Linked DNA regions of Canis lupus familiaris. Each later gene encodes a partner of the first gene's protein in a complex. Links are inferred from orthologs where the notes say so. Each region holds a gene or a part of one and is shown in the gene's direction. Other genes may lie near its edges. The genes, in order: PPP2R5C, CRYBG1 and PPME1.

Region 1 (7,775 bases):
CTTCTGGGACTGTGTCCCTGGGCTCCTCCCATTAATCGTGTTCCCTAATTACATTGCTGTTTGTTTTGTATATATATTTTTGGATTCTGTACCATAGCCCAACTGCAATGGTCTACTATTGTCTCTGTTGGTTTTTCCAGATACGCTGTAACATTTACAAACAAATATGGTTTTCTGTTAAAAAAAAAAAAGTAATAATGTTGATGGACTCCCTCCCCACTTCCCCCACCCCTGCCAGCCCCAAAGTGTTATCTCTTGTGACTCTGAGAACTTAGTGTTTCTGTCTGTGGGAGGAAGAGCCTCTGGAGGAACTGAGATTTGGCCCTTGGTGGACTCACCTTTATAAATCCTGTTCGTGTGAATAACACAGAATATATCAAGTAGTGGAATAACCTTTGTGATTTAGAGGAAGAACTGAATGACCAACCTTCCCTGACTCATTGTCTCTGAAATTAGACTATCAGTGTTCTTTTGTGTGGTGTCCCTTCATATCCTAAACCTTTCTATGTTCTGCCATAGTGCAGTTCCCTCATGGCGTGAATGTCTTATTACTTCCCCGCTCTGGACGTGAATGTCACAGACACAGAAAGGCTTCATGATACTGCTGAATTGCAGGAATTTCCCACAAGGTTGCTTGCTTCTCAAGCCGGTGTGGTTTGCATCTAATTCAGTAAATTTAGCACTCCGGAGAGGAGCATCTGCGCGGCTGATTTTAAGTACTGAAAGTAGGAGTGTGGAGCAAGCTGTGAAAGCAGGTGCTTCCTAATATTACAGAGTCCGTCCACGCCCCGCACGGCCGTGTGCATCACGTACGTGCACACCCGTGTGCATGGTAACCACACAGGCCCAAAGCAGGGAGAAGATTCACCCTCTTTCTCCAAGGCGTGGGCAGGTTTTTTTGTTGCACAGTTCCTGCTTCTGGGGAGGAAGAGTGCCGGGAGCCTGTCCCCACCCAGCCCTGCCGCCCTGGCCACGTAGCCTGATCCTGGCCGTGTCCACACCGCAGGGTGCGCAGAGCTCAGCATGTGTGAGCTGAGAGGGTATAATGGGTCCATTTGATCCATCCGACCTATGGTACAAACAAAGTTCCCTCGGTTTCTGTGGCCCGAGGATGACAATGACCACCTTCCGTGGTGCTTGTGGCCGCACAGCTTGGCAGCCCCTCCTGACAGTGCTCAGCTGGCCTGACTCTGAAGCTCTTGCGCTCAGAATTACTGCAACCCAAAAATAATTTGAGATGGCATGCCATTTGCCTTCTGCTCTCTTTTCCAAATGTTAGTTTTATACAGTTATTTCCAGAGACGAGCATTGAATCAATGCAATGTACTGTGGTAGGAAAGGTGAGTAGAAGCTCCAGCGTGAGATTATTTTGTCATGTGAAAGGGATGACTTCGTATCAATCCGAGGTGGCTAAGAGAAGACTTCCTGGGTCTGAGGGGTCCTTCAAGGATGCTGAAAAGAGGTTTATTGCCTTAAAAGCAAGGCGGTCCAGCTCCCCTGCAGACTCCCAACTCGGGAGCTGCTGGGATTTGGTGCCCATGCAGGCACTGGGGACGGGCCGTAGGTGACCCCACACTGCGGTCTGGGCTCCAGCTTGAAGCTGGGACAGTAGCTTCACTACTGGTCGACTCTAACCAGTTTACTAAGAATCTTAACTAAGCAGATGTGTCAGAGTTCAGTCAGAGAAATGACCAGTAAGAGAAACAGAGACAGCCTGAGAGATGATTTCCAGGAACTCCCTGGGGCAGGAGCTGAGGCTGCCCCCACAGGGGGATTTTCTTCCTCCTTGGGGGAGAAACCACAGTTCTGCTCTTCTGACTTTCCAGCTGAGTGGATGAGGCCACCCACGTCCTCCGGGTACTCTCCTGTGCCTAAAGCCAGCCGATGGCAGATGCTGACCACGGCTACAAATACCTTCCCGAGTGATGCTCAGATGAGTGCTCGATAACGGGGCGCTCCTGGGCAAGCCATGACCCCTAAGACCTTGCTTCCCTGCCCCTGCGTAGTCTCCGTGGGGACGGCTGCCCCACCTGGTGTAACGCGTCAATCCCCGAGGGCTGCCTGGCCAGTGAGGGACCTGCCGGGGGGCAGCCGCCACCTGCATGCATGCTTCCTTCCCGGGTGGGCCTCAGTCTCTGGGAGAGGCAGGCGTAGCATGCGTCCCCCTGGCTGTCTTCAAGGCACCCCCCGTCTCTGGGTGACTGTCTTGACGCCCCCAGCCATTTGGCTTTGAGGGAAAGGGTAGAAAACCCAGCGCAGGAAGGCCACACGCCCACGCGGGCCCCAGGCTCCATCTGACTCCACTCCGCACTTCCCTAGCCCCGGAGGGAGGGCTGAGCGCCCGGGGTGACGGGGCGGCCTGCTGCCCCTCACCCGCCTGTGGCCTTTCCTTGGCGAGGGAGCTCCTGCTGTCTCCTTGTTCTCTTCCGTGGGCTTTGGGATCAGAGTGTCAGGAGAGCCCCTGCTGCCCCGTCCCCCGGGGGCCAGTGACAGGACGTGCCTCCCGTACCTCGTAGCACCTGTCACCTCCATCGCTTAGTCACCTGTCACTTGGGAGGCCTCTTCCAGGACCCTGTTCATAGCTTCCAGACCTTGTTTCTTTCTATGTATGTTTTTGGAGTATTATTCTTGGTTTTACAAAAGGATTTTTTTTTTTTTACTTGTTTCTGGATTTCCTACCTTTTTTTTTTTCCGGTACCTTCCATTCCTTTTTTTTTTTTTTTTTTTTAAGATTTTATTTATTCATGAGAGACGCACAGAGAGAGGCAGAGACACAGGCAGAGGGAGAAGCAGGCTCCATGCAGGGAGCCTGACGTGGGACTCGATCCTGGGTCTCCAGGATCACACCCTGGGCTGAAGGCAGGCGCTAAACCACTGAGCCATGCAGGGATCCCTGGTACCCTCCATTCCTGTTCTGATTCCTTGCATCTACTCCTCCTCTTGGACAGCACAGACCACAGATGTTTGAGGCTCGGGGCTTTCATAGCTGATGCTGTAAAATGGGAGCATTTTCCTTCCCGGAACATGATGTTAGGGGGCTCGGAGTTCACCGTCAGTAACAGCCAAGACCAGAAGAAACAACGGATGACCTTGAGATTTAGCTCAGTCTCTACGAGACTGGTCACCTGAGCAGCAGGTTTGCCCTGGACTGTCCCCAGCTACCTCCCACTCGTTGTCATGGAGCTGGGTCTTACCTTGCCTGGCAGGTGTTTGGATTTTGTGCTTTGGGGGGTGAGGGGGCGGAGGCCTTGCTTTGATTATCTGTGAGAGCCAGTCAGCAGAGCCCAGGGCTGTAACCCACATACAGCAGGTACAGAGCTTCCGTAAGGTAGCTATCACATTTAAACTTACTACAAAAGAAGAATAAGTTATAAATGGATGATAAACAAAAACTAAACATTTATATCACAAATTTATCAGTATATGTTATGCTTTATTTAGAATTTAACCACGTAAGAAAAAAAAATTAACCATGTGGACATTAAAGTATACCTGTGCTCCAGAGAATTCTAGGTTTTATGTAGAAACACCTATAAAACACTGACTTTTATTAAGTTGGAAATAAACAGAGCGTGGAGTGGGAGAAGGTGGTGAAGGACAATATAAAAGAAAGGCAGGTAGCAAGTTGTACGAGGAGGTCATTCACATTCTCAAGAAATCTCTTCCAAAGTCATTTCCTTGTGAGTCCAGAGAGACTAAGGCCATGAGCGTCCCGCCCTGGGCACACGGCCGGCTGCCCTCTGATGGTTCTCTCGGTGCTGAATGCAGGCACTTCTGGGGCAGGAGACCAGTTCTTTAATCTCTGCTGCTTCCTGCTCAAGCCCATCCTTTTCTTCCCAGCACTACACCCGCCTCCTTGCTCTGCGCTTACTGGGCACAGTGAACTCACCGCTGCCCCCCCAGCACTGGTTGGTGCTGGTTGTCCATGAATCTGGCAGCTCAGAGTCGAGCAGGAGTGTCGGTAGCCATCTGTCCCACAAGCCAGGTTTCCTGTTGCAGCTTTGACCCACTCTCGTTGGGGATCCACACTGCTTCTGAATCTTCAGAATAAGGACGAGCCAGATAACCACTGGGAGCAGCTGTCGTTAGAATTTAAATGATTTCTGTAAATGGTCTTTTTTTTTTTTTTTTCAATGTTTTCTGTAAATATCTTGAATGTCCTGGTTATAATTCAAGAATATGTGGATTTTAGTTTGCAGTTAACATGTTTCGAACGTTACCACCTTCCTCCAATCCTACGGGAGCAGAATTTGACCCCGAGGAAGACGAGCCCACGTTAGAAGCAGCCTGGCCTCATCTACAGGTACTGAACTCTGGGAGTGCCCCAGCAACAGGGGCGTGAGTTAAGTGTGTGCATTCTCAGGGTTTTTTTCTCTAAAGCGAGTGAACTGGCCCTAGGGCCTCACTCCAGCTGATTGCAAGTGGACCGCTGACCTTGCAAACCTGTGCAGATAAGAAAGGTATTTTAGCAGAAGTGAGAACAATGAATGGGTTTTTTTGTCTATTTGGAATTGTCAATATGTTTGTAATGAAAGTGACCCTTTGTTGATAGCCATCAGATCGAGGCCTTTTGCAGATAGATGCTTCCCTAGTTTTCAGCACTTAGATTTAACACACCCAAAGGCTCACCTGCTGACTCACCTTTTTCTGACACATTCGTAAAGTAGAAATTGCTCATAGATCAGGCTGGATGCCTGAGAAGACACTGAGCTCAGCATGAGCAGAGTGTGCACAAGCCACGCACCACCTTGGGGCCTGGGTCGTCCACAGGAGGGGAGACAGAGAGGTGAAAGCTGGGAACGAGCTAGATGGGGATCCAATTACAAAGGGGGGGCTGTCTTGGGGACAGAACATCCCCCAAGGCATGTGGGATTGCCGTGTAACCGTGACAGCATATAGCCCACTCATGAAGAGGAGGAGCATCCCAGCCCCGGGTGACTGTCTGCGACCCGCTCACCGAGCAGTCCCAGCTTCCTGTCCCCCAGGCCCTGACAGGACACGTGCTCATGGTGGGCTGCAGATCCCGCCCCTCACTGTCGTCTCCCAGCCACGTCAGTTAGGTGCCAGTGACCCCAGCCATGGGTACCATTTCGTTTAAATGCCAGTTAAGGGCATAGTCCGTGGTTCTGAGCTAAATAAAACAATTACCGTCATCAATTATAATTAAATTAAGCCATGGTATTTGGTATTAATTCTGTAGATAAGCAGCTTTTTTTTTTTAAGGCTAATATTTTCAGAGATTCAACTCGTGGTGTACCTTTAGTCTCCATCTAATAAAATACCATATTATTTGACTCATTGTTTTTTTTTTCCTCCTAGCTTGTTTATGAATTTTTCTTAAGATTTTTAGAGTCTCCAGATTTCCAACCTAATATAGCGAAGAAATATATTGATCAGAAGTTTGTATTGCAGGTAAGGTACAAATTAGCTGAAGCTACAAAAGTCCTAATCTGCAGAGCAGGAATACTGATCCACTAAGTGTCTTTTTCTTCTTGAAGCTTTTAGAGCTCTTTGACAGTGAAGATCCTCGGGAGAGAGATTTTCTTAAAACTACCCTTCACAGAATCTATGGAAAATTCTTAGGCTTAAGAGCTTACATCAGAAAACAGATAAATAATATATTTTATAGGTAAGTCAGCGTGTGGGTGACATTTCTCTCTTTGCATGATGATGATCGCGATCTTACTCAGTGCCCCCTACCCCATCATTCAGTCCCTCTTTGCTCGCTCCCCTCCCTCACCAACCCAGCACCTCTGCACACGTCCTTCCTCTGTTTCCATTTTCACCCAGCTGTCCCGTTACCCTGGGTGTGGGGCCATCCAGAACCTGTCCAAAGCCAGCTGTCACTCCTTTCACCTGCGGGTTACTTCATCCTCCCCAATAGCATCTCAGAGAGAAGGCAGGAGTGGGGAGCAAAGTGGGGACCCTTAGAAATGCTCACAGGCTGGAGAACCACACTAGAGGTCTGGAAACCCTGGCGTCCCAGGCCTGCAGGACCGCAGAGACTGGTCCGTCTGGGGAGCTGGGTGCAGAAGTTGCCCTGTCTGGGTTTCTGTGGAAGAGGGCACAGCCCCATGGCTCGTGAGAGGATGTTCTGTGGCATTCCAAGTGCAATATTCACCTTAAGCCCGCGCCCCCGCCCCCCGGTCCTGGCCACCGCCTCTCATTGATTCTTAAGATCTGAACACCCTTCCACCCACCCGCTGACATCTGCACGGTTCTGCTGCTGTCTGAGTCACCCGGGGTGACTGGCCATGCTTGGATGGATGAGCCCCACCCCTGGGCGCTGCCGTGTGTGGGTGTGTGGGTCTGGGCAGGCCTTCTCACTTGAGTCTCTGCTCATCTCCAGGCTCCTTACCCACTAGTGCCTCCCAGAACATTCTTTCCAGCTGCCCTTCTCCACATCCTCGCAGGCTTCTAGACACACCCCCTCCCCAGAAAGCCTCCCTGGCTTGGCAGGCAGGTCTCCCTCTGGGGCAGGCATTGTGCTAGCGGCCTTATCACACTTCCAGTGACCGCTTTGCACCTGACCTGTGGTGGCACCAAAAGAATGTTGATGAATGAAAGACTTAATGTTTCTTATCTGTCCCTGGAAAGTTTGCTATGAGCAGTTTATTCCAAGAATTTGGGCTTGCCTGGGTCATCTTGCCCTTGAAGGCCCTGATTCCAGGATGGCTAAGGTAGTGAAAATCCTAGCAGTAACAGGTCCCCTTGTGAGGTAAGAAAGCAGGTGGGTTTCGCCCAGGCTAGCCATAGAGCCGGAGGGAAAGTGACGTGCAGGATCACCAGGAGCACCACAGAGCCCAGGTGGTTCCCTTCTTAGGCATCATGACCCAGCAAGGGAGACAGGGGAGGTGAGACAGATGGAGACACTTGGGTGTGGGAAATAAGATCCCACCACGGAGACCAGCAGCCTCTGGGGATTCTGGAAGCCGTCCCTCTCATCCTCGGCGTCCCCTACCCTGCCCTCCGCAGTCATCGGGGCATCTGCTCCTCTCTCTCATCTTCACACTTGATATGACATCCAGTGTTAGAGCTGCCAGTTCCTTTGAACCTGTTCCAAGTCCCCCACATCCCAGGACTGGGCACCACATATGATCAGAGAAGGACATCCCGTTTCCTGCGTGTTGTGTTCCCTAGTTCATGCTTCTTGGTATCATGATTCCTTTTGAACGAGATCATTACGTGGCAGCGGTATTTATCAAAACATTCTATACATTATTTAAACAGCAAAGAACAGGTACAATTTAAATAGCCTTTTAGGCCTAAAATTAAAGCTCTACATAAAGTGAGGTTTTGTTCGTCAAAATATAGGTTTTGTTCAGATCACAGAATCACAAATCATGAAGAACCTCAATAGAGTAACGAAAATATTTAAATTATTTAAAAGTGATTGCACATAATTTAGTTTGTTCTCACTGAGCGCCCAGTGCTGGAGGGTGGCGCTTTTGTGTTTTAGCGATCTTTTCTCTATCATTCGTGATCTGTGCAATCAAAACCAAACATGTTACGTGGATCTAGTAGTTGATTTGGTCTCCACCTTCCACACCACTCATATCATGCAGAAAGGAGGTAAGGAGAAAAACCATGAGAGAAGTACCCCGCTCATCAACATTCGTGGCATGACCCCATCCGTAAGAAAAGATAACTCCAACCTGTTCGGTCCATCTCATCAATAACGTCAACATAAAGTCCCTGTTTGTGCAATTTCTCCTTCTAATGAGCGCGTTCAAGGTGTGAGTTACACAGAGATCTGCACCGTTGATAACCCAGCC
Region 2 (7,775 bases), on another chromosome or scaffold:
ACTCCCCTTTCAGATACTTTGGGGGCACCTGGGTGGCTCAGTCGGGCTGAGCGGCTGACTTGGGCTCAGGATCTGGGGGCCGGAGATGGGCCCAGTGTGGGGGCTCCGTGCTCAGCGGGGAGCCCGCTTGCCCCTCTCTGTCTCTGCCGCCCCCACCGCCCCCCTCACCCCCATGCCTTCTCTCTCTCTCTGTCTCTAAAATAAAATCTTTAAGATACTCTCGTGTATTTACTGCTACCGTGTAGTCACGCGTGGCTGTTTTGAAATTGCATCTTTATTGAAGGAGGCAAAAAGCAAAAGCTGGAGCAACCTGGGAACTGTTGAGTTTGTAGGCCTGAGTATTTGGACCTTCTGATTTTCCCTTTAAAACACAAGGATTCGGGCAGCCCGGGTGGCTCAGCAGTTTAGCATCACCTTCAGCCCAAGGCCTGATCCTGGGTACCCAGGATCGAGTCCCACATCGGGCTCCCTGCATGGAGCCTGCTTCTCTCTCTGCCTGTGTCTCTGCCTCTCTCTCTCTCTCTCTCTCTCTCTCTGTGTGTGTGTCTCTCATGAATAAATAAATAAAAATCTTTAAAATAATAAAACACAAGGATTCTAGTAGCAGGAAATGTTATCCCAAGTAGCGCCAAGCATAGACGGGGCTTAAGAAAAAATGTGACAATCCGAGTTTATTTTGTTGGAGTGCATGTAGCACATGCAAAAACCACAGGTCTCTACTTTTGCAGGTGGGCTGGTCGCTACCATTTTGGCTTGTCCTTCTGCCACGTGCTTACTCCTAAAGGGGGGGGGGGCGGTGGGAAACGCAGATTCTCATCGTTTCTCTCCCCCCCACCCCCAACCCCTTTTGTTTTCCAGTCCAGGGCGCAACCACCAGAGGAAAACAGACGCAAGCCGGTGTTGGGGAAGCTCGGCACCCTGTTCGCGGCCGGCCGGAGGAGGTCCGGCAGAAGCGGGGTGGAGAGCCCCTCCGGCTCCCACGCCAAAGCCGCGTCTCCCAAGGATGGGACCTCTTCCAAACCCCCGGAAAGAGAGAGTGACAAGAGCCAACCTCAGGGCAGCCAGCCGAAGCAAAGGGACCCGGGCGAGGAGGCTCCCCCGCAGGAGAGGCCCCCGGCGCGGGAGCCCGGGGGGCCCTCGGACAGCCGCGTGCGCGCTGCGCCCCCCGACGCCGGGCGGGCCCCGTGCGCCAGCGGACGCGGGGCGGCGGGGCCGCGGGGCCCGGGGCGTGATGCGCCCCAATTAGAGCCTCGGGAGGCAGAGGGAGGGTCCGTCCCAGGGGCCGCCAAGCAGCTGCCCTCCCCGCTCGAGAGTCCCTCCGGGCAGGGGCGCGCGGAGGCGCGGGCGGGCGGTCCCGGGGAGGGCGCCCCCCGCGGCGCTGGCGGCGAGCAGGAGGCCGCCCCGGGCGCCGGGGCTGCGGCGGGGGCGCCCCCCGGGTGTGCGGAGGCGGGCGGGGGCCCCGGGGCGGCGGCGGGGGCGGCGGCGGACGGCGGAGCGGGGCCCCGGCGCGGCCCCGGAGAGCGCGCGCGGCCCGCGGCGCTGACCCTGGTCGTCTCCCCGGGCGCGGGCGAGGGCGAGGGCGCGGGCGCGGGCGAGGGCGAGGGCGAGGGCGCGGCCCCCGGGCCGGAGGACTGCGGCGACCCCGACGACATGGAGAGGAGGTCGTGCGGCCGCCGGGCCGGCAGGCGGCGGAGGTCGCAGAGGTCCGCCGAGTCCCCGGGGCCCGACGCGGCGCCGCCCGACAGCGCGGGCGGGGACGGCCCGGGGAGCGGCTGCGAGCGGGCGCCCGACGCGGCGGGGAGCGGGGACTCCCCGGCGGGCCCCGACCCGGGCGTTGCCGCGGCGGCGGGCGCGGAGGCCAAGGCCGGCCCCGGGGCCAGGGGGCAGCCCCGCGGGGAGGCGGAGCGCGGCCCGGCGCCCCCCCCGCCGCCGCCCGCCGCGTCCCCCGCCAAGAGGAGGGGCCGGAGCCGAGGCCCCGAGGCCGCGCCCGCCGGGGAGCCCCCCGAGGACCGCGCGGACGGGGCGGCCCGGGGCGGGCCCCGCGAGCTCACGGTCAAGAGCGCGACGCTGCTGCCCGAGATCAGGCCCGAGCACAAGAGGGGCCTGGCCCCGGGCCACCCCGACGGCCGAGGCAGAGAGCCGGGCCGGCCGGCCGCTGCTCCCGACGCCGACGGAGGGAGGCCCAGGAACCATCTCGGCGCCGGCAGGTCCACGGTGACCACGAAGGTGACCCTGTAAGTGGGGGCGGGGGGGCGGGGGCCGTCCTCAGGTGCGGGGGGGGCGGTGCGGGGGGGCTGGGGCTGTCCACAGCTGTGCAGGGGTCTGCTGGTGGAGCTCTGGCCGATGTGCAGGGGACGGGGGTCTGGGGGGCGCGGGGGTCTCTGCATTCGGGGCAGATGGGTCTGTGCACGAATTTTCCCCCTCCACATCGTAACTAAGACAGTGAAGCGCTGGTTAGCACAGGTTTAAGAAGAGGACACTTTGGGAAGCCCAGTCGGGTTGCTCATTCCTGTTCTGATAGAATATTCAGTTTGGTGGATGTAAAAATCTCCCGAGACTCAATGTTTACTCGATTGAAAGAAGACCCCTTAGCCTGATGTGAGCTAATTCTTTTTTTTTTTTTTTTTTTAAGATTTTATTTATTCATGAGAGACCCAGAGAGAGAGGCAGAGAGACAGGGGCAGAGGGAGAAGCAGGCTCCCCGCAGGGAGCGAGCCCGAGGCCAGACTCAATCCTGGGATCCGGTGATCACAACCTGAGCCAAAGGCCCATGCCCACCCCCTGGGCCACCCAGGTGCCTCCTGGGCTAGTTCTTTTATTCAAAATGCACCCCCGCATTCCTGGGTAGGGCATTCTGTGCTGCAAATTTGGAAACCGGGAGCAAACCGGCTTACGTTCAGTGTGACCCTGGAGCTTTGACACCTGTGAGTCTAAGAGAACTCACAGAACTTTTTCTGGAACTCAGTGTGGCTTAAACATCCCCCCCCCCCCACCCCCATTTCTCTCCTTAGAATGTTAGGGAAGTTAGTGATATTTTTGCTCCCAGGTTGAAAAGTAATTCTTAGTTATTGAAATGAAGAAAAAGCAGTGTCCTGGGGGGGGAGGGGTGTTGTTAAATGAAAGGATACCATGCGTTGGAAGAATCAAGCTCAACAGGCTGACTACCTACTGTTAAATTCATTGATTTTTTTTTTTCCAAATATTTATTGAGTGACTTCTGTGCATGGATGGTATTGGGCCAGGAGCTCTGAGGGGAAACTCGCAGTGTGACTCAGTGTTTTGTCCTTGAGGAGTTTCTGGCCCATTCTGGCTTGCCAGATGCAGACAGATGCTACAGGAGGTGATGGCCCAGGGAACTGCTCGCTGGGTTGTGAGCTGTAAAGGCTGGGGAAGCGCAAAGTAGGAGAAGTCAGTTGGCTTTTTGGAGGTGAGCTTGGGCTGGGGTGCTCAATGTGGTTTGGGAAGGTGGCTGGGGTAAGGAGGGGCCCCTGTAAAGCCCCAGACCCTCTCCCCTTCCCACAGGCTCACTGCCCCACCTCCCAGGGAGCGTCTGTGAAACATGAGCATCTAAACTGCCCAAGTCGAAAAAATAAAATAAAAATAGAAATATAAACTGCCCAAGTTGTTCCTACATTTATTCCTTATTGAAAGAGCCAGGATTTTCACAGCATTTTGATCTTTAAACCAAACGGTTTCATTCTATCTGAATTCTTGGAGAAGTAAGGCTCTAGAGTAGGAGGTCTGTTTGATAAACACGTGAGGGAGAACCTGCTTAATGAGTAATGTGAGCTACCTCACCAGCTGCCAATCTGGAGACCTTTGATAAAGTCAGCTATTTATTCTGTAACGGCTGTGTCAGAGGAGTAATCGGAGTGGGTGATGCCCATTATTTGTAGAAGGCCAGTGTGACTGCACACTCAGACCTACTAAGTGTGAGCTTAGAGAAATGTTACTGCGGAGCTGTTTAAGGACGCCCTTACCTGCCTTACCTGCCTTCCAATCGGAGAACGCCAGTGGAAAAACCAGAAATGTTGCAAGGAGTAGGGTAAACAGACCTGGGGAGCGATCCTGCAACGAAACTCTGCACGTCCTGTTTTCTGTGAACTAAACCACGTCTTCTTCTCTGTGCCCATCACTTTCTACCTAAAATTTCTCCTCGGCAAGGCATTTGGCTTGATTGTGCTTTCCACCAGGCCTCACGCTTGGTGAATTGGCAGTCTGTGGAAATGGGAAAACTAATTCCTTCTAGTCTTTTTCTGTTTGATGGATTTCCTTTCCGGTTTTTTTCCTCTGATGGTATTTTAAGAAGGAACGTTACCGATTATTTTTAAAAAGCAATTTGCATCTGAAGTTTTAGTGTAAATTATTTTGTATTCCCTGAAGAAGGACTGTGCAGCAGCAAGTTTCTCGATGCTGTTAGAAAAATTATGTCTTCAGTTCTGTTCCAGGTGTTGAATGTTGAGATTAGCAATGGTATGTTGAGAATAAGGAGAATTTTCCTCTCCTAGCCACAGCTTTTAAGACATCAGATGATTTTCCCTTCTCCATTATAATAAAGGCATTACACAAAGCATGAATTAGAGAAGCCTTCCTTTTAATCGGTATGAGCTAGGTTAATTGTAGTGACTCTTGGTAGCAGAACTTAATAGCACAGAAAGTTTGGTTGTAAAACATATTTTGATCTCGGCGTAAATCTTTAATGTGCAGATGTGTTTCCTGTCCTTAAGGTAGCTTGTTGGCTAACCTGTAGTGTTTTCCATTGACATCATAAGATATACTTTGATGTTTGACTGTTCCTTGAGCTGATTAGTGAGATTTTTTTTTTTTTTTTTTTTTTAAGATTTGATTTATTCATGAGAGACACAGAGAGAAAGGGAGGCAGAGACACAGGCAGAGGGAGAAGCAGGTTCCATGCAGGGAGCCTGATGCGGGACTCGATCCCGGGACCCTGGGATCACACCCTGGGTCGAAGGCAGACGCTAAACCCCTGAGCCGCCCAGGGATCCCCTGAGAATTTTTTAAAATGTGTATTTACTGGCATGTGAACATCTTTCATTAACTGATGGCATTTGTAAGCTCTCCATTTCGACTCCACTGGTTTTAGAATTCAGTCTTCAAGGTAGTGTGTGTATGTTAATTTTCCTTTTAAATTTAAGATATGGGCCCACCATGAGGGAGCCTAGCTATTTTGTGGAGCTATTGGAGAGAGCAGTGCCTAAGAGAAATTCATGAGAGTATATGAAATTTAGTATTTAAATCAAATTCCTAAAAATAAAAATCTAAGTTCCTAATGCTGTATTTTGGAAAGACTTCTCAAGTCTTTTCAGTGTTCTCATTTTATCCAGAAGGATAAGGTGTCTCACCCAAAGTCATATTGCCTGTTCCTTCAAAAAAGCCCCTCTTTCTTGAAAGCCAATGAATCCATGTGGAGGCAGCAGTGAGATTTCTGTGCTTCTCCACTTTTCATGATCAAAGTAGCCTCCAACGTTTGATCGCTTAATCTTACAGCTCTCACGATAACTCATTGACCTCTTGAATATATCAAGCTGGAAAGGACCAGATTTAGTCACTGAGGTCTGGGGAAGCAGAAGAGTAGAGTGGTCAGGAGCATAGCCTCCAAAACCACAACCCCTGGTTTCAAATCATGGCCCTGTCCCTCACTAGGTGTATGACTTCTGGCAAATTACCTGCCTTTCCTAGGCTTCAACTTCCTCGTTGTAAAAGAGAATGTTTAAACTAGTACATTAGGCAAGTACACTGTTTCTCAAGTGTGTGTCAATCAGTGATTCTTAGTGGTTATTATCTCCTCATTTTAGAAACCACTAGATGTATGGTTTAGACATTGTGTTGTGTTTAGCTTCAGAGCCCATTCTTCTAGGAAAGCTTAAAAGTGATATATACAATAGACAAGTAGAAGTGACTTTGGTCGAGAGGAGGGTGGCTGGCCCCAGCCCTCGGTCGCTCTTGGACCCTCGGTCACTGTTGGAGAGAACTCCCAAGAATTCCTTCGGCCATCACTTGGGAAAGGTGTGGTGGGGAGAGGATCATCTCTGTTCTAAACTATCGATTTGTTTGTTTTTTCTAGATAGGAAAGGTAGTGAGTCCAGTGAGTTAACTTGACCAAGCTCACACATTAGTGTAGGAGCCAGGACCAGAGCTGGCTAATGTCAAACAGAAAGAAAACAAAGATTTATGATTTCCAGTAGGCGGTAATAACCAAGAAATATTATAGCTTCTTTATAGAGCGAGGGGAGATGCCTTTTGCCCCCACCAGAAGGCAACAACACCAACAGTTGAGTAACTGATAAGTAAATTATGGTACATCCATATGATTAAACTTTTATGCAGACATTATGAAAAACTTCAAATTTTTAGTAACATGAAAATGTTAAAAATGTGAAAGATAAGATTAATTTATCTTTTTTTAAATATAAAATCTGAAACACTATGGAATGGAACAATTCCAATTTTGTTAAAAGTATTTTACCATGCATACAAAAAGAGTACACTAAAATGTTAACAGGGAGATTATTTGAGTGGTAGGAGTATGAGTGATTCTTCATTTTTATATTTTCCATATGATCTGTAGTGGACACACTTGTATAATCAGAGTAAAGTTATATGAAGGAAGATGAAGGGAATAAATATTCAAAGAGGTAAATAACAGATAAATATTTTTATAATCTAGCCTTTTGAAATAATGCTTAAAAATTATGATAAAATAAAAATACACAGCTGCTATTTGGGGAGATCATTTACATATTCAAAATAAAGGAGTACATCAAATATATAAATTCAACCTCATGTTCTTCAAGCCCTAAGCTGTCTTCTGAATTTAGTGTCAAGCACCGTGCTCACATATTAGGTACTCGATAAACTTGCTAACCTCCCACCTCTTGACTTTCTTAGCTATATAATTTTCTCATCCATCCTACAGAAGCAAAACCTCCATTAAAAATAGTTGAGTGTACTTAGGATTGTTTTAAAATAGTCTCATAAAAAAACAAATGTTACTTACCAGAGAGATGTTGGCTTTTCATAATAATAAATGTTTCGTAGTAAATTGGTATGTTGGCTTTTCAAAACTAGGTCAATAACTTTATCTTACTGCTTTATTTTTGCAGCCCGGCCAAGCCCAAACATGTGGAACTAAATCTTAAAACTCCTAAGAATCCTGACAGTTCGGGAAACGAGCATAATCCATTTAGCCAGCCGGTTCATAAAGGAAACACTGCCAACAAAATCTCCTTATTTGAAAACAAAAGGGCCAACAGCAGTAGCCCAAGACACGCTGATGTTCGAAGTACAAGGAACCCTCCTGCCTCCTGTAATAAAACGTTTGTTGGGAGGGCGAAGCTGAATTTAGCCAAGAAAGCCAAAGAGATGGAGCAATCTGAAAAGAAAGTACTGCCAAACAGTCACCAGAATGGTATGCTGGCAAAGGAAACCTCGACAGAATCCAAAGTTACTGAGGAGGAGATCCCCCCAGCAGCCGGCAGCCCCAGTGCGGGGGGATCGGGGGGCCAGCCTCCCCAGGGCCAAGCTCCTGGCCCTCCACTTCACCCAAGTGCTAGAGCAGAAGTGCACACAGACGCCGGCTGCCCTCCCGAAGCAGTGGCCGCAGCTCTGAATCCTGTCGAGGACCACGAGGCCTCGGGAGAGGATGACTCAAAGGCCGCGGGGAGCAAAAGACTTGCGCTTGAAAACATGACTGATCCAGCACAGGACATTCCCGCCACTCTTGATACCAAAGAGCCCCCCCCAGCGGCCGCACC
Region 3 (8,441 bases), on another chromosome or scaffold:
AAAAAAAAAAAAAAAGATCTTGCCTTTCAAACAACATGGATGGACCTATATTATGCTAAGTGAAATAAGTCAGACTGAGAAAGACAAATACCATGTGAGTTTACTTACATGTGGAACCTAAACAAACAAAAAGCAGAAATAGACCCATAAATACAAGGAAAAACTGATGGTTGCCAAGGGGAGAGGAATGGGAAGATGGGCAAAATAGGTGAAGGGGAGTGGGAGATACAGGCTTCCAATTATGGAATGAGTAAGTTACAGGGATAAAAGTAAGGCATAAGGAATATAGTCAATGATATTGTAACAGTGTTGTATGTATGGGGATAGATGGAAGCTACACTTGTGGTAAGCACAGTATAACATATAGATTTGTGGAATCACTATGTTGTACACCTGAAACTAATGTAACATTGTACGTCAACTATACTTTAATTTAAAAAGATACCATTTCAAAAATACAAGTATAATGATACAATGCATAGGTTTTTAAAATCTCAGAATTAAAATTTTTCTTCCAAGTATTTTTTAAAAAAATTATTGCAATGTCTAGGTTTTATTTGTTTATTTAAAGATTTTATTTATTTATTCAAGAGAGACACACAGAGAGAGGCACAGGCAGAGACACAGGCAGAGTGAGAAGCAGGCTCCATGCAAGGAGCCTGACGTGGGACTTGATCCCGGGTCTCCAGGATCACACCCTGGGCTGCAGGCGGCGCTAAACAGTTGTGCCACTGGGGCTGCCCAATGTCTAGGTTTTAATATATTATCTTTACCCCTTACTTTAAAACCATCACTAAACATGAAACAGCAACAACTCCCTTCACTCAATGCTCAAATGATTAAGTCTATACCATATGACAGCATTTCAATAAAAACCACCTTAAATTGTGTATTTTCTTTCCTGCCAACATCATTCAGTCAATGAAGACAGACACTATCATCTTCAGATTCTGCCACATTTTACTACAGTACTGGGCTCATAATATTATTGGCTTTTATAGAGTTTGTTTTTTTTTTAAGATTTTATTTATTCATGAGAGACAGAGAGAAAGAGAGAGGCAGAGACCCAGGCAGAGAGAGAAGCAGGCTCCATGCAGGGAGCCCGATACAGGACTTAATCCCAGGTCTCCAGGATCATGCCCTGGGCCAAAGGCAGGCGCTAAACTGCTGAGCCATCCAGGGATCTCCAGCTTTTATAGCATTTATTGGATTTCAGACAGATAATAAATGTAAACTAGGCATTTAATCATGACTTTGTATAAAACTTTCCCTTAATGACCCTGTCTTCCATTCATAGTTAGATGAATTCATATATCTGAATAATACTCATATACATATGAAGATAACTATGAACCTTGTGATCTATGAAGATCTATGATCTTTGCATGATTCATAGTTATTTTCATATATATATCTATGAATTATTCACGCATAAAAGAATGAAATCTTGCCATTTGCAACAACATGGATTATATTAGCTAGAATATAATGCTAAGTGAAGTTAGAGAAAGACAAATACCACGATTTCACTCATGAAGAATTTAAGAAACAAAACAAATAAACAAAGGAGAAGGAAAAAGAGACAAACCAACAGACTCCTAACTACAGAGAACAAACTGATGGTTACAAGAGGAGAGGTGGGGGGAGGCATGGGTGAAATAAGTGATGGAGATTAAAGAGTACACTTATGATGAGCACTGAGTAATGTATACAATTATTGAATCACCATTCTGCACATCTGAAACTAAATAACACTGTATGTTAACTAGAGTGAAATTAAAAAAAAAGAAATCATTCCTATATTATACACACATTTCTATTCCTCTTTTTCCTTGGAGAATGGTCATGCCTAACAAGAAGAAAATATACTGGAGTATATCAGATCAGGAGATCTATATAAGTAAGTCTTTGGATTTCTAAAGCGAACAATTCTCTGCTCTCTAGTCGAAGATGACCCACCATAATCTTTATAGATAACTAGTTTGAATATAAAAATAATACATGGGTGTGTATATGAGCATTACTATGTGTGTGTGTGTATACACACACACACACACATGGTATAGCAAGAAAGACATTCTTATGTTATTTCTATTTTTATCTACCTCCTATCAACCAAATATACTTGGCTGGTTTGGCATAGGGAACACCAGTATTGAATATATCCATGCTTCTATTTCATATCCTCCCATCATTCCTGGCAGGAAAGGTACTGCCTCAAACTGCCTTATTATCTTTAAACAGTTTGGATAAGATTCATTCTCAGACTGTAGATTCAGTCCTTAATCCAATGGCCTAATGTACTATCACCATACCTAACACCACTTTACCTATAATGTAAAAAGCAAAGTCACACAATGTATGTTTGTTTGTAGGCAGCTCCACTGAGATTCAATTTCTAATTTCCTGATCAGTCCTGGGTTACTAGGGCGCCTGTTTCCTCCACAACTAACACTTCCCTGCTTTTCTGGTGTGCATATTTCTCCTTAAGCATACTATCCTGATAAGGTCCTCTTGCTACATACTCTTTCACCACCACTCCAACACTACCACACTTTGTCACTCCTCCCTCTTTCTTCCACAACTATCTTTCCCAACTCCTGCCTGTACCCCTTCATGCTTCAAGATTGCCTCATGTTGGACCCATTCAACCAACATTTACTGAGTCCTGCTTTGTGCTAGTTCTTGGGGATTCAGTAAAGTATAAAACATGATCTTCTCCTATTAGAATTGACATACCACCTCTCCAACATGTGTTGTTTTTTTTTTTTCCCAGTCCGTGTGGAACTCCAAAGGTATACTTTCCCAAACACAGACACATATTTACCTTTGTTATCAAAAGCACTCCTAACTCATGGGGATGTAATAGCACAGTGACTATAGGTAATAGTGTACTGCATATCTTAAAGTTGCTAAAAAAGTACATTTTGAGAGTTTTCATGACAAAAAAATTTCTTAGTAACGGTGATGGACGCTGACTAGACTCACTGCAGGTGATCATTTCCCAACATATACGAATATCCAATCATGTACAACCTGAAGCTAAGATAATGTGATATCAATTATAACTCACTTTCAAAAGGCTAAAAAATTCCTAGAATTTTTATTCCCTTTCTTTAGAAACGTTCTGCCTGTACCCTTTTAGTCCCTCACCTCGGCCCATTTATTCGCCCGTTTTGTCCCCCTACTTCGGCCTCTATTTCCTTTCCATTCGTGTGAGGGCGAAATGCCTTCTCTTTCGACCTTTTCATTCTTTGGTTATTTCCCTCTTTCTTCCCTTCTCCCTCCTTTTTCGCAGGCGCATGTGGAAGTCTCCCTAGAATTCTTTATACCTGGCTCCCCTAACTCCGCCTCGTTACTCTTTCCTCAACCTTTGGTCGCTCCAGTTACCTCTTTTCTTGCGGCCACGGACGCCCGCAGACCCCTGGCCTTTTCGTTGTTTCATGACGAGCCAGGGCTCTTCTTCACCACCTGAACTCTGGCTCCAGCACCTAAGCCGTCGCCTCCCGCCATCCCTTCCCAAGGCGCCTGCGTTCCCCGGCAACCGGAGCCGCCGGGCAGCTTGGGAAGCAGGAAGAAGCGGCTCTCCCTCCAACAGCCTGCGAGAAGCGGTAAAAAGGAAAGGCGCCAAGACGTCTTACTGCAAGAGACTACAACACCCAGGATGCTTTGCTACACTACCTCTGCGAGGTTGGCCGCTGTCGTGTGCAGCTGCGCAAGCGCAAAGGGATACGCCCTTTGAGGACTTCATTGCCCAGAGTGCATTGCCTGTAGGAGAGCCTGTCTTTCCGGCGAGGGTCGATGAGCTCTCCGCTTAGGGTCTAATAGATCCATAGACTCCGTTACCCAGCTTCCTTTGTGGAGGGCTGTTGCGCACTTCCGGTGGAAGAGCTGAGGAGAGGGGGTGGAGTTTACGGAGCCGGTGGGCGGTGGGCGGTGCTGCCGGTAGCTGGGTGCTGTCCAAAGGCACTGGGCGTCGCTAAGGGGAGTGAGCTGTGACCTGCTGGGCCGCACTTAGCGTGGGACGAAGCTTAGGCTACTGTTTGACTACCTGAGGCCTTCCCTTCATGTCGGCCCTCGAGAAGAGCATGCACCTCGGCCGCCTGCCGTCTCGCCCACCTCTACCCGGCAGCGGGGGCAGTCAGAGCGGAGCCAAGATGCGAATGGGGTACGTGACCCATACCCTTTTTCCCTAGAGGCCAGGCCCCGGCCATTGGAGAATGGTGTCTCTAGGCGTTTAGAGCGGCACGGCAAGGGAAGCCAAGGATGGGAGCGAATGTTAGCAGCGGCCTGGAGACGTTTCGATGGTGTTGAAGGCAGATTTGGGAACTAGGGGAGGCGCCAAGTCAATGGAAATTGGAGGACAAATAGTATTGAAGGGAGGAGGGAATGAGGCAAAGATTGAGGAAGCTGAGAGGATAATTTAAGAGATGTAGGAGGCACCTCCAGAAGAAGTGATGGAAGAGGTTTGAGGAAACGTAATAGAGTAAGGGAATATCTGTCAGGGAGGGTTGAGAGACATGGAGAATGAGAAAAGTTGAGGGAATTAGGGGAACAACTAGGAAAAGATTTGGGATAGTAAGATGACTGAAGCAACTAGATATTAGAAAAGCTGAAGGATGATAACACCTGAGGCAGAGTTGGAGAAGGAAAGTAAAATAGGGAGCAGAAGGTTCTAGAGAGAGTGCCTAGGGCCGTAAGAGGCCGATTCAGGGAGTGAGGGGGTGATTAGGAGATTAGATCTCTTAAGGGAGAACTGTGAAAGCTTGGAAACAGGGCCAAGGAAAGATGGAGAATATAACTAAATAGACTGTTATGGAAAGGAACGTGCTGAGAAATAAGGGTAGGGAGTAAGGGGAGGAGTGAAGAGGAGCTTAGAGAGTGACCATGAGCTCTAGAGATGGAGAAAAGATTGGGAACAGGGTTTAGGGAATGAAAGTGCTGCAGAGATAAGGTATGAGAAGCTTAAAGAGGAAATTTGGGCAGTTGATTTTTGCCAGGCAAGTAAGTCTGATGGAGAAGGTACATACTGGTTTGAGAAGATTCAGACTTAATGAAGCATTCAGAGTAGCCAGTTAAAACGTTTGGGGGAAAACCATTTACTGGGAAGGGAGGAGCTGTGTTGAAGAGATAGGTTTGGGAAATTTTATGTCATTGAATGGCTTGAGCCAGATTAGGAGTTACTCAGGTGTAAGAGAGGGTATCAATTGAACATAAGAGAGGTAATTACTGGAAAGCAGAGGAAATTGAGTAGGCAGTTGTTTTGTTTTTTAAAGATTTTATTTATTTACTCATGAAAGACACAGAGAGAGAGGCAAAGACATAGGCAGAGAGAAGCAGGCTCCATGCAGGGAGCCTGATGTGGGACTGGATCCAGGAACTCCAGGATCATGCCGTGGGCCGAAGGCAGATGCTCAACTTCTGAGCCACCCAGGTGTCCCGGCAGTTGGTTTTGTGAGGTATTTGTAGTATAAAATAATATTCTGGAGACTAGTGACTGTTAAGAGAGAAGGGGTAGAAAGAGTAGGTGTGAGGTAGTCAAGAGAGTGTGCTTGGGATTTTAGAGTTCGATTGATAGATATCCTTGGAATAAAGACTAGAGAAGAGAAACTTTCGTTTCTAAAGAAGTAGTACGTAGAAAAACTGATCAAAAAGGAGATGAGGACAGGAGATGCAGTACTATGAAAGAAGGTCTCTGGAATAAAGGGAAAGGAATATCCCATAAATTAAAACAGTGGGGTAGAGAGGTGTGAGAATTAATGGGTGGTGGTTGAAAAAACCAGGGGGAGGAAATTAAGAATTGGAAACCTGACTATGATACACAGTAGAAACATGAGAAAACCTTGACAGAAGATAGATAGTGGATGCACAATGGAAAGACGGTGGTAGAAGGCCTCATATAAGGTAAAACGGAGATTGTTTTGGCTTTAGAAGACAGAAAGTGAAGACTGTAACATGAATAAGGAGGATCTGGAAACTGATCCATGACAGATTATTTGGGAAAGTTAACCTGGAGTATAAAAATAAATGTAACATTTATCGTTGGTATGTGTCTTAGTTGTTGCCTTTCTTAGACTAAAATTCATCCTTTAGTATACCGGTACTCTTCTGTAAAAATACATAAAAATATTAGCTTTTTGATAACTATACTTGCTACAAGTAAATTAGAGTTCAGCTTCTCACTTTGTTAAAACTAGTTCTCTGAAGATGAACTGAAAAGAAAAACACTAAGAGAAAATACAGCAAAAAGCTGCTAATTAGAAAATTGTGTTAATTGTTGGTAATGTACTCTCTTTAAATAGATGCTTTTGTTAACTATTTATCCTAGAAAACAAAGTTCTTTAGAAAAATCCTTTATGATACTGCGAAGAGAAGGGCTTTGTTGGTGAATTTTATGTGCTTCCCAAGTGGCTTGTTTTCCTTTATTTTTCTTTCCTGTTTCCTTATTGGAATATAGGCAGGCCTCAGCTGAGTCTAAAGTTAGTGGTAATATTGACTCTCTCCCTGTCCTAGAAGGAACATGTATAAATGATCTCATTTTACTGTGTCACTGTATAGTTGAGAAAATAAATTCGAAGAATTTAATTCTGTATTCTGTAAGGTAAACTTAAGAGGCAAGGGACAATATTTTTTATTAATAAAAAAGTAAAACTCAGGGTACCTGGGTGGTTGGTTAAGTGACCAGCCTTGGTTTCAGCTCAGGTTGTGATCTCAGGGTCATAAGATGGAGTCCCAAGTTGGGCTCCAAGCTCAGTGTAGAATCTGCTTGAGATTCTTTCTCCCTCTGCCCCTCCCACTTGTGCTCTCTCTCTAAAATAAATCTTTAAAAAAGAGAGACAGAGAAGACAAACTCAAATCTTCTTCATACTAAGGCAGTAGGAGCTAAGTGGTTAGAGCCACTAAAGACTAAGACTTGGAGTCTCTAAGATCCATTTTGTTTTTCGGATTCATAGTTGTTATCCTGTTTTGAGTTGTATGTCTTAGTTCTTTACAAATACTCTAGGATTCAGTCTTTTTCCTCAGTCTTGATTTATGAAGTCTTACTTCTACCAATTTTAAAGCATCCTGCATCCTATTTTATTTCTTCTATTCATTCATTTGCATTTTCCTTATCTTTTTCCATTCCCCCATCTATTTCTTACTCTCAAGTTGGACCTGTGCCTTTGACAATCTTTTTATGACTTATTCTTTCAACTCTTTCAATTCATAATCTCTTACCTTTAATTTCACTAAACCTTATTTAGATGTGTTTCCATGTTCAGGGTGGTTTTGGGTTTATGATTTTTTGTGAGTGTCCATAATTTAGTTTTTCAAATTAGATATAGAAATTCCAGAGTATTGTTTGATAATGTAATAATAACAATTACTTTTTTTTTTCTAGATAGGTACTTTGTGCCAGCCATTGTAGTAGTAGCTTCATGTGTGTTACTTTATTATATTTGTTTGTATGTTACTTTAATCTGTTTACAACCTTGCGAGGTAGATATTTCTTTGCATTTATAAGTAAGGAAGTTCAGACTTGAGATTAAAAGTCACCCAACTGGTATGTGGGAGAACTAGAATTCAATTGATGTTTAGTCTCGAAACACCAACACTTTTTCTTAGGTAAGGCCTGAATTCCTGGTTTTATTGTTCCATGATGGATGCCAGTAGATGATGCCAAAAACCGTGGTTCTGAACTTTTTTATTAAAGATTTTGGAGCTGTTCTGGTTTGTGATCCCTACTTGTAACTGGTATCTTACCCTGTTAGAGTTGCCATAACAAAAATACCATAGGTTAGATGGCTTATAAACAGCAGAAATGTATTTCTCACATTTCTGGAGGCTGGGAAGTCCAAGATCAAGCCGCTGACAGATTCTGTGTTCAGTAGGGACTGCATGCTGGTCCAGAGATGGCAATCTTCTTGCTGGGTCCTCACACAGCAGGGGGAAGGAAGCTCTGTGCATCTCTTTTCTAAGGGCACTAATAACATCCTTGAAGGCTGCACTCTCATGACCTCATCATCTCCCATCGTCCCACTTCCAAATACCATCAAATTGGATGTTAGGATTGAACATGAATTTGGGGCTGGAGGAGGGGCACAAAGGTTCAGTCCACAGCACCGAGGTGTGCTTGAGAGGAGTGTGTTTTGAAAATCACTGCTTTAGTACATGCCATTACCATTAAAGAGACTATATAGATTATTAGAACCATTCATTTTCAATGTGTTTTTGGTTTATCAATGGTACTCCATTTCTGTAGTTATATCTTAACATTTCTCCAGTGCTTTAACTGAAAGATATATTGGTGCTTTTTTGTATTATTTTATGAGATTCCTTAGGGCAGGGATATTTTCTCTTAATGAGAAAACTCCAATGTTCTCTGACTTGCCTAAAAACCAGAATCATCAAATGGCAGAAACAGGATTCAAGCCCAGATTTCAGATTTTTAGTCCATTGTT

The links.
Region 2: the proteins of PPP2R5C (region 1) and CRYBG1 are in contact, whole or in part, in a crystal structure (PDB 6VRO), measured with the Homo sapiens proteins. The link is inferred for Canis lupus familiaris from reciprocal best matches to the Homo sapiens genes PPP2R5C and CRYBG1. Residues at the interface, in NP_002710.2 of Homo sapiens: Lys183, Thr184, His187, Tyr190, Gly191, Leu194, Arg197, Ala198, Arg201, Glu226, Ile227, Ser230, Ile231, Asn233, Gly234, Phe235, Ala236, Lys240, Glu242, His243, Pro265, Gln266, Tyr269; in NP_001358171.1 of Homo sapiens: Pro1136, Phe1138, Ala1139, Met1140, Pro1141, Pro1142, Ile1143, His1144, Glu1145, Asp1146, His1147, Glu1149.
Region 3: the proteins of PPP2R5C (region 1) and PPME1 are in contact, whole or in part, in a cryo-EM structure (PDB 7SOY), measured with the Homo sapiens proteins. The link is inferred for Canis lupus familiaris from reciprocal best matches to the Homo sapiens genes PPP2R5C and PPME1. Residues at the interface, in NP_002710.2 of Homo sapiens: Asp180, His187, Arg188, Tyr190, Gly191, Leu194, Arg197, Ser230, Ile231, Gly234, Phe235, Ala236, Lys240, His243, Asp313, Gln341, Tyr348, Glu353, Tyr354, Glu399; in NP_057231.1 of Homo sapiens: Arg37, Lys38, Arg39, Asn192, Lys217, Val251, Glu252, Gly253, Ile254, Ile255, Glu256, Glu257, Pro345, Gln346.

The regions. Positions count from the first base shown.
Region 1 is NC_049229.1:70,339,224-70,346,998, forward strand, and holds part of PPP2R5C (serine/threonine-protein phosphatase 2A 56 kDa regulatory subunit gamma isoform), read left to right. Parts: intron 1-4,192; coding exon 4,193-4,303; intron 4,304-5,319; coding exon 5,320-5,412; intron 5,413-5,498; coding exon 5,499-5,629; intron 5,630-7,775.
Region 2 is NC_049233.1:64,196,966-64,204,740, forward strand, and holds part of CRYBG1 (beta/gamma crystallin domain-containing protein 1), read left to right. Parts: intron 1-858; coding exon 859-1,548; intron 1,549-1,629; coding exon 1,630-2,234; intron 2,235-7,124; coding exon 7,125-7,775. UniProt on the Homo sapiens protein: May function as suppressor of malignant melanoma. It may exert its effects through interactions with the cytoskeleton.
Region 3 is NC_049242.1:24,237,330-24,245,770, reverse strand, and holds the start of PPME1 (protein phosphatase methylesterase 1), read left to right. Parts: upstream 1-3,867; 5' UTR 3,868-4,067; coding exon 4,068-4,168; intron 4,169-8,441. Other genes in the region: C2CD3 (C2 domain-containing protein 3), read right to left, coding at 3,682-3,751. UniProt on the Homo sapiens protein: Demethylates proteins that have been reversibly carboxymethylated. Demethylates PPP2CB (in vitro) and PPP2CA. Binding to PPP2CA displaces the manganese ion and inactivates the enzyme.